3 linked regions of the Caenorhabditis elegans genome follow. The protein of the gene in region 2 purifies or fractionates together with the protein of the main gene of each other region. This does not show direct contact. Each region holds a gene or a part of one and is shown on either strand. Other genes may lie near its edges.

Region 1 (3,812 bases), on a different chromosome or scaffold from region 2:
AGTCGATGAAACGAGATGGTCGTAAGATAAAAAAAACTCTAAATTTCTAGCTTTTTCCATAGATTTTCGGATTCAGAAAAACAAAAAGTGCTGTACACGAGTGGGGATTGTCTTGTTCGTGGCATGGAATCCCTCACATGGCTCAATCTCTTTCAGTAAGTAATAGGTTCAAATATTTCTTCAAATTCAGAGATTCCATGATTCCAGTGGCCAACGATCCTTCTCTGGACAACCTTGCTCATTATCAGCGCCGTTTTGTTCGTCTACCTTATCACCGTCACCGTTCGCCAATACTTTTCGTTTCAAAAATTGGTGAATCTGAATGTAAATTTCTTAAATCGCTTTTTTTTTTAAATCTTTATTATTTTATTGAAGCCAAAGAATTGTAGATTGGAATGGTAGAGTCGAACTTCCCATCAATCACATTCTGTAATACAAATCCATATAAATTGAGTGCAGTTCGAGCGATTCCTGAGCTGGAAGCCTTGGTAATTAAATTTACAAAATTTAAAATGAATCGGAATTTTGTTTTCAGCTCACCGTCTACTCACAAGCCTATACATGATAAAACTTTGGATTTTTATTTTTCTGCATTTTCAAATAAAGTCATAACAAACAACAAAACAATCATCTCAAATTGCAATTCAAAAAATCGACAAATCCCGTGATAATCTTCTCCTTATCAGTTGTCGGATCCTTCTTCGACATGTTCACAAATTGGTGTCGCAGTCGATTCAGCTCAGGCAGCGTTCTCAATTTCATAAACTTTATCGTATTGGCTCCGTCTGTTGCTCCAGGAATCGTCAGGTTTTGACCGCGAACTGCAGTTCTTTGAGCATTTAAAAGCACTGTAACAACGTCTTGTGTGGATCGATCCAGCTCGTGAAGAAAATTTGTCGGCGCCAGTGGGACTGTCTGTGTTGATTGGTTTTCTGTGAGCTCTGTTCCCTGGAAAACTAATTATTTTTCTATTCGATAATTTAGGATTCACTTACATTACAAATCCATTCAACAATTTCATCTTCAAAAATGCTCGCAAATCTCGGAGCAGGATGCTCCAAGTCTATCGCCATATCCTCATCGAAGTCTACAGGCGTGGCTCTGGAATAGGAAACAATTATTATTTTTTTTTCCAATTAATTTTCCAATCTCACTTCTCAGCAGTACCAATTTTAACCTCAAACAATGGTTTTTCCCATCTCAACTTCGTATCCGGCCTTTCATATCTCATCATCAACTGATCGATAATCTCCTTCGGATATCTCTCCACTTCAGGCTTCTGCTCATTGAGCCAGTGACACGTGGCGACGGGAGGCGAGCACTCGACGACACAATACGTGGTTTTGCTCATCTTAGCGGCTAAGAATAATTCATATCGATATCCTTTGATATAATTCAAAGCATCACATATTATAACTTTATTCTTCGTTAGATTCTGTTGAACTTGAGATCGAATCCAAGATCGGAGATCCTTCTCTTTATTCGAAAATTCGTAGTTTTTTCGATCAAATCCTCCGTAATCTTCGTCCCGTATTATCAAATAGTCTTTGCCTGGAATGATGGGAATTTTAAGAAATTTTAAAGCAGAAAATACACAATTTTTACCTTTTTCCTCGAATTTCTTCGCTAATCTATCAACAACTGTAGATTTTCCAGACGATGGATGACCGGTAACAATGATAAGAGGCATAAATATCTAGAATAATCCTTATATTTCAGTAATTTTGACATATTTCAATCCATGAATTTTGCAAAAAACAACGTCGCACAGAAATAGAGGCGGGGCGTAATTTTGCAACCTTGCGGCACGATTTTTTACTCTATAAGAGATTGAAATTGGATCGCATTTTCATTCGAAAAAGAGAATAAAACGAGCAAATTCCCCGATCGATCCTGTAGTTTTTTGAAGTTCCGCATCTAAAAAAAGTAATTCACGGTAATGAACCGTTTACAATATTTTAGAAAATTGAATTTCATAAATTCAAAAATTGCAATTTTATTTTACAGTTGGAGGAAATCCGGAAACAATTTAAAACTTTCACGACGATTTGAATTTTTTTTTGTGGTTTTTTGTTTCTCTTTGATGATGGCCATAATTAAAGGAATAAGGAGGAATGCGACTTAATGAAAAAAATAAGAGAAAATTACAGAGAAAAAAAAAAGAAATTAGGTATATATTTTAATATCACACAAGATGCTGCTCATCCGTCAAACGGTGGAGGAGAGTCAGAATCCGACGAATCTCTATCCGGTACACCAGTTGCTGCGTCTTCATCGAGGAATAGTGTCAATTTGTCGTTGAATGGACGTGCTTGAGCGGCCGGATACTTTTGATCACGATCACAAATTCCTCGTACAATTTCCGCTTTTTGTTTCCCGCAAATGATGAAAGCAACGTTTTTGGCGTGTTGAAGAGTTTGCAAAGTAAGTGTGATACGAGATGGTGGAGGTTTCGGGGAGTCTGTGATGACGGAAACCCAATTTAGCTCGGTAATCTTCTCCAGCCGCTCCTTTCCAGGGAAGATACTTGCAGTGTGACCATCTGGACCAACTCCAAGGAAAAGAATATCGAAACGAGCAGTATTGTTGAGCTGCTCCGGGAGCAAGTATTTACGAAGACTGATTTCATAGTGTTGGGCGGTGAGGCAGGGATCCTTGAAAATTTGCATGGGCACAAAAACGTCTCTGAGCTCATTCGGGAATAATCTCAAATATTCTCCCTGATTACTTTCCTCGCTATCCAGATCAACGTTACGCTCATCAACCATAAAAATTCGAATCCTCTTCCAATTCAGCTGCTCTTGTGGCAAAGAGAGAATAGCTTTCGAAAAGACTCGTGGCATCGATCCACCGGAAACTCCAATACTGACTGTACCATTTTGATCTAGAAGATAGGTGAGCTTTTCCTCGAGATAACGACGCAGCTGAAGGATGAGCTCCTTTTCGTCGCCAGAAACGTTGAGCGCCGGCTTCATCTGAAAATAATTTTGTTTTATAAAGAATAAATACATTTGAAACGAGATTTTACATTGCTATTCGATACGAATTCGTTAACGAGACACATTGATATTCTCCACGGAATGAGCGGGGGCTGAGTGAGCGGAAATACTGAAAAAGAAGCAAGAAATAAAATCGTTTATGACATGAAAAGGATTTCTCTTCACGAAATAAACCAGGTTTATTTTAAAAGCTAAAGGAAGGTGTCATAAATAAGAAAAAGGAATTTTAATTTATTTAAACTGTATTATTATTATTCAGAAAAAAGCCGATGAAAACAGGAAAAAAACAAAAAGTGATAAATGTCTAGCAACAATACTCCGAAATGCATGCGCGCCCAGTTTATTGAGACGATAGACTATGCAAAAAGACGAGACGCAGAGTATGCAAGCATGCTCCACTGCACTCTTGTGTCGAAATACGAGCGAGTCCACGGATTTTCCATTGATTTCCGAGTTTTCTTCGCATATTTTTGCAGTTTTCAAAGCTTCATGATTTGCAATTTAATTATCAAATACTTAATATTGTTATTTGTAGTAAATATGACCACAAAACTGGCGCGATTCGCTCAAAAACGATGGATTTCTTCGACGACTTCCACATCAAATATGTACGATCCAAGAGTATTCAGAGATCCCGTAACGAATGTTCAAGAGGTTAATTTGTTTGTTTTAATCTATAAATCTTAACTATTATTTTAGCTCCGAAAACCATTGGATTCGGATGATGAGCGCAACTTTTTGTTCCTCAAAGCGATGAAAAGTGATGCGACACCAGTATTTTACAGAGATCATGTGGTAAACTTGCAATGCTTT
Region 2 (3,688 bases):
TCCAAATGTGGAAGTTCTTGGACGTTTCGGATGTGGAACATTTGTGTCACTTAGAGCTGCCATTTTCTGAAAATAAAAACCACCTTTCAGATCGTTTCTTTCCATTCACATTTTCCATTACACCAACGTGACTCCACCTCACCATCAAATTTTAAAAGTGCACAAATTGGCTTCTGGCGTCTACTTACCAAAATAAAGAAGATATTTAGCTTTGATAGAAGAAGAGAATTTAGAGAAAGAAAAGAAAGGATGTATTAATTTCTCCCCTTAAAACCAAACCACGTTTACTTACACGCGGTTATTAAGGTCGACACGTTTAGTTTTATCCTTTTTATTTGATAATGCACCGCTACCGTATCAATTACCAATATTCTTTTCGTCCTGCTATTTCCATCATGTTAAACAGCTCATTTATCAGCTCGCTGAAACAGCTCTCGTAGTAACTATTGGCATTATCGAAAGTGAAAAATATTTTATATGCAATACAAGTTTATATAAAATCAACAAACAAATTTACCACTTTTCAGTGGATATGGGGGGGGGGGGGTGGAGGAGAGTGAAGATTAACAAATAAATTATCAGTTAATTATTACACAAGCCAGAAAACTTATAACAATCATATTTGAGTATCCGTGGAAGAGTGTGTATGGGGTATCTGGCAAAACTACCACGTGAAGACAATTTAGAAGAAAGAATCTCAAAAAATCAGCAAAACTTCCAGCGATTTCCGCACTCGAGACAGAAGACAAATGTTGTCATCGGTTCGTCGGAAGAACGAGTTTGAAGCTGAGTATAGGTGCAATTCTTCTTTCCACATTTTCCGCACTTGAACATGTCTGATGGAGTTCCTTGCTGGACGCTCATTTGATGTTCTAGGATAGCTTCCTTCGTGAATTTATCACGCATCTCCCGGATTTCAGCGGATGCCATTTCTTCGCTGGTCATGGTTGCAAACTTTTCAGCACGGACGACACCAGTGAGAACATTTTCACGTAGAGCAAGGTTCTTTTTATCACGAAGATTGAAAATGCGACTACGAACAGCTGCTGAGTAACTCTTGTTTGTATCACGGTGAACCTATAATCAAAAAGTTAAAAATGTTTCACTTTCAGGATAAACCATACCGAATAGAGTTTCTCTTCAATTTGGACAGCTAACTCCTCTGGATCGAGTGTTCCTTGTGGCATGTCTCCAAACCGAAGTGCCGAAAGTAGAAGTTGTGCAGATTTAAGACGGGTCTCGTCATTTTCAAGATGTTTCGGTGGGAAAGATGCACTGGCAAATTGAGCAACTATTTCTGGCCGACTAGATGGTTCTGGCCGCTTATATGGAGCCTCGATCTTCTTTTTCTCTGGTTTTGCCTCTTCAACACTTTCCTTTCTGTGCTTCTTCGCAGGTGGAGCACCACCATCATCCTGTGACTTGCTCTTTCCATCAACTACATTCTTCCAATCCTAGAAAAAAAATAATTGGAAGTAGCTACATTTCATTTATGAAAAAAAGTACCTTAATGATGTTCTTAGCCCGCTTTGCAACAGCATCATCTGTGACTTTTTTCCGCATCATATTCACTTTTATTCCAATGTTGGTTTTCTGGAAAACAATTTTATTATTACTTGATGGACAAAATTAAAGTAGAACTCACCTGGATTATTTCGATGCTCATTGGAATTTTCGACAACTGGTCGAGCAGCTTATTGCATTGTTCGACGGATTCCATTCCATTATTGCAAATATCGTCAACTTGCTTGCACAACGATTGTGTTTCCTCGAGAGCGGACATAGCTGCTGCAAGACAAAAGGTAAAGAATGACGGAGAGTATTAATTATGTAGTGGATTATAAAGAGAGAAAAGATGTGGACGCGCAAAAAACACAAATATCTGTGAATATTGACTGAAAACGAAATTGGTACATTTGAAGAAACGCGTCAATAATCCGAATAACGCGTCAGCAAAGGCACCTGGCGCATTTCTCGTGCGCCTCTCCTGACCTGTCTCGGATTCTGGGAAAGTTACGATGATTTGGCGATTTTCAGAAAGATTCTTCTCTTTTTATTCTCAATATGCTCAAAAATAATGTTATTCATGATATAATTCATCTGTTAGTTTCAAATATAATAATCCCTTAGATTTTGGAGCTCGTAAAATATCACGGCACTAACATTGTGTCCAGTCGAACTGAATGTTGACATTTATTAGTTAAGTATTTGAGATTTCATGCTATGTTTATAGTCAACAGCCTGAATTATCAGTCAGTTAAAGTTACAATCATTGATCAATTTTCTCTTTTTTTTTTAATTTTCAGTTAACTTTTTGGCCATCTCCATTTATCGCATCTCCATTTAAAATCATAATTAATATTTCTATGAGATTATATTAATCCCATATTGATTCTTGGGACTTTTTTAGTTGCAGAATGTGAAATTCCCATTTTATTCATTTGACTCCAGCTACCCTTCTGTGCGGTATCAAAATAGCTCTTGATGTTAAACCACAAATTTTTGTTTTCAAATATTTCCTTTTCTATCTTAACAAATAATTGTTCTTTTATTCCAGCCGAAAATGGAACGAGCAGGTCGGTCGTCGACCCTTGGTTCAACAGATGATGTCGAGTTGGAACCAAGTGGAACTTCTGCTACAATACACCTTGATATGACTGCAGGTGATCGAAACAATATCAATTTTCCCATAGAAAATTTTCTTAACGAACACTTTTCATTCAGGTGGCGGCAGCTCTTCAAGTGATTTTAACCCATTTGGTGCTATTGATGACGTCAGATTCAAAACAGACGACGATCTTCCAGACGTCATGGCTCCGCCGTTTTTCAGTAAATATGGAGATTTTCATACAATTGATTGGCAAAGAGATTTAGCCAGAGATCGGTTACGGCATAAAATGATATCTAAGAAAAAGTTAGTTGGGTTCCCCCATTAAAATAATGCAAAGCTAAATGAATTTATGACCTGCAACAAATAATATTTTCAGAGTGGATTTCCCCCTTGGGCTTCTACAATCGGGATGGGATGCCGGAGCAGGATGGATATGCGTTCTTTTTGTTGGACTGGCTGCTGGTGCAACTGCTGGAATCATCGATATTGGAGCTCGATGGATGAGTGATCTAAAGGTTATTTATTTATCTGAAGTGAAAATCTAAATTCAATTTTTGAGCTATGAACAAGCTTCAAATTGATTTTAACATGTATAAATTTTTTTTTAATTTTTGGTATAAAAACTGTTTTCAAAAATCCATCCAAGTGTCAAATTAAAATTTCAGACAGGAGTGTGTGCGGATCGTTTCTGGTTGGATCACGAACACTGTTGTTGGTCATCAAATGATACATTTTATAAGGATGATGATTGTAAAGCATGGACGAAATGGCCATGGATGCTGAATTACTACAACTCATCCAGTTTTCTCTTCTTATTTCTCGAATGGATATTTTATATTGGATGGGCTGTTGCAATGTCGACTCTTGCCGTTCTTTTCGTTAAAATATTCGCTCCCTACGCCTGTGGATCTGGAATTCCAGAAATCAAATGCATTTTATCTGGATTCGTGATTCGTGGATATCTTGGAAAATGGACATTTATCATCAAATCTGTAGGACTTATTCTATCGTCAGCTTCTGGTTTGTCTCTTGGAAAAGAAGGTCCAATGGTCCACTTGGCTTGTTGCATTGGAAATA
Region 3 (6,582 bases), on a different chromosome or scaffold from region 2:
GAGTCGGAGAATGGAACTATTCGAAATCAGAAACCAAATAGAAGCGGCACTGGACATTTGATGGTTCTTAACAGGTATTCGTGGATTCGTAGAAGAGAAAATCAATGAGTTCATCATTTCAGAGCTCTTGAATTCGTCATCGATTTGCTGGATGGAGTGTTCACGTCGAATGATGAAAATGTATCGACAATCGCTCGTTCTTCTTATGACAAACATCTTTCTCAACTTCATTCTTGGCCAATCAGAACTGCTGTCGCTGCGGCTCTCTACACTTTGCCTCGAAAACCAGAATTTCTATGTAGACTTCGTGGTGATATGCCAGAGGACGATGATAATCAATTCCATGATATTTTCAATCGAGACGGACGAGATATTGTGCGAAGAGTGAACAAACTAGTTGAAAATTTCGAACTAACTGATTATAATCCTTCAGCCTGAATCTCTTTACTACCCTCTTCATTCTTGATCTCACAAAAAATATGTTCTCTGAAATTAAACTTTTCATTATATCTCTTGGTTGTACAACAAGTGTATTTGTTTTTGAAAAAGAAAAGCAGCAATCATTTTAAGAAATGTTTAATTCAAATAAAACAGTGTATAATAAATAAATAAATGAACGATTTTCAAAGGGTGACACCAAAAAATAGACACAACGAAGTGAAACTCGTCGAGTGTCGAATAACATTTGAACAGAAAAAAGCGAAGAAAAATTGGAGAATAAATAGTAAAGTGAACAACTTTTCAAGTTTCGCTATGCATTTTGCAGCACAATCCAATGTTGATGACTCGCATGTCTGACATGTCTTCCTGTGATCGGATAACTGCTTCGAATCCATCCATGGAAACAAGTTGTCCACTGTGACCTGCATCTTGTCCGAAAATCACTCGAGCCTTAAAGTTAACATTTCATTTAGCATTTTCAATTTAATATTTTCTTACATCATCTCCTGGTTGCGGTTTCATTGGAGTTAGCTGATCGAAATCAACTTCCAAGTTGCACTTGTGATCTGGCATGTAGACATCCACTTTTCCATCGGTAACATCTTTAATGATCGCCTCACGTCCGTTGAATCGCCCTTCGTGGTCCTTGATTTGCACACACAGATTCTGCACAATCCACACACCTTGAGCCAGGAAGTGGTCCGCTAAAAATAAGAAATTAGCTTCACTATAATTCAAATAAAATCTTGAGCAACTTACGAATTTGCTCAATAGCTCCATCGGCATTGTTGTAGTTGTTACTGTCGTAGCCAGCGAATGGAGAAGGCGCAACATATTGATCGTATGCTCCTCCACTTCCTGGCGTCATTGGAGCAGCGAATCCAGGTGTATCAACGTGATAGGCTCCCGGAGTTGCTGGATTGAGCATTGCACCTGGAGTTGGCACAACGTACGAGTGTGGAGGAGAATCATAAGTTGGAGACGAAGTGTCTCCGATGTCTTCCTCAACTTTTGTAGCTGCATCTGGTTCGTATGTCGGGCTGCTGTTCTCATATGTGTCGTATCCTGGAGTACGGGACACGAATGCTGGAGTTCTTGCTGGAGCATTGTCATACGCTTCAGGTGCATCGGGCTCGTATGCCGGACTCAACGCTAAACAATTAAAAATTAAAAATTGCAAAGATATGTAATGGTTCAACTCACGAATATCATAATCATTATTGTATGCTGGAGTTCTGGCGGAATGTTCGGATTCTGGATAGGCTGGAGTCTTACTGCTTGAATCATAGTTCGGAGTTCTCGATGGCATACTTTCATAGCCAGGCGTTCTTCCAGAATCATCATATGCAGGAGTTCTACTGTTGTCCATTGATCCGTATGCTGGAGTCCGTCCACCTTCCGTACTTCCATAGGCAGGAGTTCGTGCACCATCAGCACTACCGTAAGCAGGAGTTCTTGAACTGTCATTTCCATAGGCTGGAGTACGTGATGATGAATGTTCATCAAGATCTCCATATGCTGGAGTTTTGCTTCCATATGCAGGGGTACGTCCACCTTCTCCATACGCCGGTGTTCTTCCTCCATCATAAGCTGGAGTCATCGAGCCATACATCGGTGTTTGTGCTCCATACATCGGAGTCTTCGATCCATACATTGGAGTTTTGCCAGAGTCGCGCATCGGTGTCTTCGAAGAACTGTAGAACGAGCTTCCACCTCCACTTCCAGCTGTTATTCCAGTGTCTCCGACAACCATCACACGAGCACGATCGACAGAAATCGTTCTGCATTGTGTATGCAATTCGACACGAACTGTGTCTTCTGTGGCATCTCGAACAATTCCAAAGTGGCCCTTCATCGGACCTTTGATGATTCGAACATTTTTTCCAATGAGGGTAAGATCACGACGAACTTTTTGTTGATTTGCAGTTCCAAAATGACCACCACGTCCTCCTCCTCCACCTTGTCTCGGAGTTTGTCCACCACTGCTTCCACGACTTGACATACCATCTTGTGGAGAACGAGGAGTCATTCCTCCAGAAGAATGTCTTGGTGATGCCATAGGATTCGGTGAAGCCATTCGAGAAACCATCGGTGTACTGGTTGTTTTCTTAGCTCCTTGTAAAATCAGTTGTTTTGGTTTGCAAACCAAGACTCCTCCATTTTTAGTCACTTTGCGAGAATAAACGAAGACAGTTCCACGGAACGCATAGAGAACTTCTCCAACTGGATCCTCATCGGTTTCCCGCTCCTTTGCGTTTGGTCCTCCAATTACTTTTACCAGATCTTTAGCCTCGATGGAATTGTTTTGACTGTCGAGAACTTTCGCAAATCGAACGTCTTTTTTCGCTATAATAGCTTGTGGCTTTATACGATTCACAACTCCGTGCATGTTGAGAACTTCCAAATGTTCCTTCTCCAATCGAACAATTACTCCAACATTTCCTGTATGGTCGAGCTGTACAAGATCATGATATTGGAACTGTCCCAGTGAGTCCACTCCAGTTGTCACATCAGCACAAAGTTGCAAATCTCGTACACGAACTTTCAATTCTTCCATTCCAAGATCAGACAAAACTATGGCTGTGCTATCTTTTACTCGGACAATTAATCCAGTATGTCCTTCGTATCGTCCACTAATAACCTTTGCATGATCTCCTTCCTTGAAGTATTTCCTGAGCTCATGAGCGTTCAAAGTGATTGCTTCTTTCAAATCTTCTTGATCTGGCATCATCACAACCTTCGTCCCATCGACCGTCATCACTTTACCCCGAAGATTCACCAACTCTCCAGCTTTCACTTCGACGATATCTCCAGGAACAAATGGATTTTCTGTGTCTTTGAGAGAAGCCGTTTCCACTGAAAAAAAGTATTTTTAAAAAAGAATAAAGGAATAAAAACTTACATTCTCTCTTGAGATCATCGCTAGATTCTTGGAACTTTTCGAGTTCTCCAAGAGTTGGTTTAACACCATCAGCTTGAATTGCGTTTATGGGGAAGTACTTGTAGAGGAATCCTCGCCGGAAATGATTTCCTTCAAATACTAAGAAGTCTCCGTCCGTCACAATTTCTCCTCCAACTTCTTTGATGGTATCCTGATCAAATAACTTGGGCATTGGGCGTCTTTTCAGCTTATAGTTTTTATCAGCATCAGTTCTCATTGCTCCGCGCCGCTTCTGATAATCGACACGGGGAATCAATTTCAGGTTGACACGGTTCTGAGCGATATCCACAAGATCAACGACAGCCAGATCATCTTTGTACATTGTTCTTTTCAAACGAACATATGATCCGAGTTTCAACTGTGGAATGTCTTTGACAACTCTCAATACATCTACCATATCTTTGATGGGAACCATGGTTATAGTGAATTGATTGAGAGCTGAAAATCCTTCAATTGCAGACATGACGTGAGATTGTTTGAACGCCTCGATATAGATCATTCCTTTGAGTCCTTCCTTGACGACAACTGATTTGATTTGGAATGGCTATAAATTGATTAAATGCAATCATTATTACGGGACATTTATCAATTACCTCGTTTGTGTGCTCAACCGCAAGACATTTACGCATCAGATGCATCGCTACGAGTTTTTCCTCTCCCATGCGACATTTGACAATCCACAGGTTAGGATCCTTCGTGGATGGAAGATGAGAATTTTTTGAAATATCATCCATAGCTGAATCTTCGTCATCATATTGACTGTCGTTTTTGTCACCCTTGTACTTGTTCTCAAAGTATTTCTGGACTTCGTCTTCCGTCATGTTTTGGAACTTGTACCGATCTCTATTCCGTTGACTCAATTCCATTTCTTTCATCGCACGCTCAGCTTCCTCTCGCTCGTTCATTGCATTCATGCTTGGATCGTCTTCGTCATCGTAATCATTGTCGTCGTCTTCGTCTTCGTCGTCGACTTCAACATCCCAAGCAAGAAAATCTCGTCCAGAAGGAGCCTTATTCTTCCGTTTCTGCTTTTTAGATTTCTTGCTGGTCACGTTTTCATCTTCATCGTCATCGTCGTCATCATCATCGTCCGAGCCACTTTTCTGAAAAACCGACAGGATTGTAACTTTAAAATTAATTGTTTTCACTCACCTCACTCTCTGAAGCAAGTTTCCGCTTTCTGTCCTTCTTTGAATTTTTGATTTCAACATCTGAGCCATCATCATCGCTCAAAGTCTGTAAGAGGATAAAAATCGATAAATAAGTAAAGTCGCATAATTTGTGAATTTTCCATGAAAGCTTATTTGTTATTTTCGGCGAAATCGATCGAATCTCAAATCATAGAGTGAAAAATCGATAACTAACCGTGTCTTCTTCTTTGTTTGAGGCTGCATCACTTTCGTCAGAGGACATTGCTAACTGAAACATTTAAGTAAATTTCAAATAACTTGGGGCAGAGAAATGAGGAGGAACGCGTGTGATTTAGGACAACGCTTAAAAATTCAGAAAATTAGGCAAGAAGTAAATCAATCAATTGAAAAAATGATTAACTTTATAGGTATAAATGATTAGAAGAAATTAAGCGCAAAAAAGAAGAAGAAAATGAAGAAGAAATAAATTGTCGTCGGTTCCGATGCCCGGTACGCAATCTGGTGTTCACGTCCAAAACCCACAACTTGCCGCGCATTAAATATATATTTATTTAACATTTTAATGTTTTTATGCGTGCGGATTTTGAAAAGGTAGGAAATTCTCTGTGGATACGCTTGAAAAATCTCAAAGCTTTAAGAAGTATTGCTTTGCTCTTCAATTTCGCATAAATATTTAATTTCATTTCAGAAAATATCATGAACTTTCTTCGTTTCAAAAGCTTTTAATTTTCACGATTACGATTTTTCTTCTATGGGTACTTGGAGTTGTGGATAAGTTTAGAGAGGTACTTTATACGCCAGAAAAAATTATTTAAACATAATGATTATATTTTTCAGACGAGTTTTGGTGACTTCAGTTGGCCACTGGAAACGCGTAATTTACAATTGCGAAGCAAGTTTACAAAATATCCACAGTGCAAATTTTCTGGCAATGGACAAAAGATTATTATTATTATAATCAAGTCAAGTGCGAAAAATGGACCGGTTAGTATTTGCAGAAAATCAAATTTCTATTTAAAAAAAACAATATTCAGATGCGAGAGTCAGTAAGAAAGACGTGGGGAGTGTTTCGAATGATTGATGGAGTCGAAGTTATGCCAATCTTCATTGTGGGAAGAGTGGAAAATATGGAGATAATGAGAAGAATTGATGTAGAATCGGAGAAGTATAAGGATATTCTTGCAATATCAGACATAGATTCATATCGGAACAATACCTTAAAAGTTTGTTTTCTTGAACACTTTTCTCAATAAAAACCTAATTTCAGTTGTTTGGCGCCATTGACTACGCTGCGAATCCAAATCAATGCTCTTCTCCAGACTTTACCTTTCTGGTAGATGACGATTATTTGGTACATATCCCAAATCTTGTAAAATTCGCAAAAACTAAACAAAAAGAGGAACTTGTTTACGAAGGCTTCGTATTTGACACGTCACCATTCAGGCTTAAGATCCACAAACACAGCGTAAGTGCTTCAAGTAAAAAAAAAACCTATTTCCAAATTATTACAAGTTACAGATTTCGCTGAATGAGTATCCATTTTCACGATATCCTCCATACGTCTCCGCTGGCGCTGTCTTCCTCACTTCCGAAACCATTGCGCGATTCAGAAATTCAATTAGAAAACTGAAAATGTTTCCATTCGATGATGTCTTTACGGGTATTCTCGCCAAAACAGTGAATGTCGCAGCAACTCATAATGAGAACTTCATCTTCTGGTGTCGACGAGTGTCTCAAAAAGAATGGGATGATGGTGTAATTGCAGTTCATGGATATGCCAGGAAAGATCTTGAATACGAGTATAGCCAGTTAAACGGGTTCGAATAAATTGTATTTTGAATTTTTTTCATATAATTTTCAACATATCAATAGAGATCGTAAGAAATAAAAATTAAATATTCAAAGTTTAGCTCGAGCAATATAATAGTTAACATCACTTCCCAGAAGCATTCTTCCTTTTCCATCGTCAATCGCAATTGAGACGGCTTCAACTCGTCCTGTTTGATCATGATACGACTCGATGATTTGACCAGTTTCCGTGTTGACTTT

Evidence for each region. The genes of interacting proteins can lie anywhere in the genome.
Region 1: the proteins of T24H10.1 (region 2) and Y57G11C.43 fractionate together in Caenorhabditis elegans (co-fractionation; one large-scale study listed by BioGRID). This does not show direct contact.
Region 3: the proteins of T24H10.1 (region 2) and spt-5 fractionate together in Caenorhabditis elegans (co-fractionation; one large-scale study listed by BioGRID). This does not show direct contact.

The regions. Positions count from the first base shown.
Region 1 is NC_003282.8:14,767,453-14,771,264, reverse strand, and holds Y57G11C.43 (Protein KTI12 homolog), read right to left. Parts: upstream 1,825-3,812; 5' UTR 1,691-1,824; coding exon 1,606-1,690; intron 1,552-1,605; coding exon 1,155-1,551; intron 1,102-1,154; coding exon 996-1,101; intron 949-995; coding exon 628-948; 3' UTR 566-627; downstream 1-565. Other genes in the region: degl-1 (DEgenerin Like), read left to right, coding at 1-21, 77-155, 208-324, 390-488, 536-565; Y57G11C.3 (Putative 6-phosphogluconolactonase), read right to left, coding at 2,202-2,975, 3,029-3,064; mrps-7 (Small ribosomal subunit protein uS7m), read left to right, coding at 3,540-3,653, 3,699-3,794.
Region 2 is NC_003280.10:9,097,473-9,101,160, reverse strand, and holds T24H10.1 (Putative transcription elongation factor S-II), read right to left. Parts: upstream 1,791-3,688; 5' UTR 1,784-1,790; coding exon 1,646-1,783; intron 1,594-1,645; coding exon 1,507-1,593; intron 1,455-1,506; coding exon 1,125-1,454; intron 1,078-1,124; coding exon 706-1,077; 3' UTR 592-705; downstream 1-591. Other genes in the region: T24H10.5 (uncharacterized protein), read right to left, coding at 1-63; clh-5 (Chloride channel protein), read left to right, coding at 2,564-2,663, 2,725-2,914, 2,988-3,126, 3,277-3,688. UniProt on the Caenorhabditis elegans protein: Necessary for efficient RNA polymerase II transcription elongation past template-encoded arresting sites.
Region 3 is NC_003282.8:12,049,710-12,056,291, reverse strand, and holds spt-5 (Transcription elongation factor SPT5), read right to left. Parts: upstream 4,802-6,582; 5' UTR 4,796-4,801; coding exon 4,748-4,795; intron 4,619-4,747; coding exon 4,535-4,618; intron 4,486-4,534; coding exon 3,976-4,485; intron 3,927-3,975; coding exon 3,344-3,926; intron 3,298-3,343; coding exon 1,645-3,297; intron 1,594-1,644; coding exon 1,201-1,593; intron 1,146-1,200; coding exon 940-1,145; intron 892-939; coding exon 742-891; 3' UTR 546-741; downstream 1-545. Other genes in the region: K08E4.2 (Glycolipid transfer protein domain-containing protein), read left to right, coding at 1-74, 123-438; Beta-1,3-galactosyltransferase bre-5, read left to right, coding at 5,096-5,124, 5,222-5,318, 5,371-5,517, 5,568-5,756, 5,801-5,998, 6,052-6,360; T12G3.4 (Strictosidine synthase conserved region domain-containing protein), read right to left, coding at 6,433-6,582.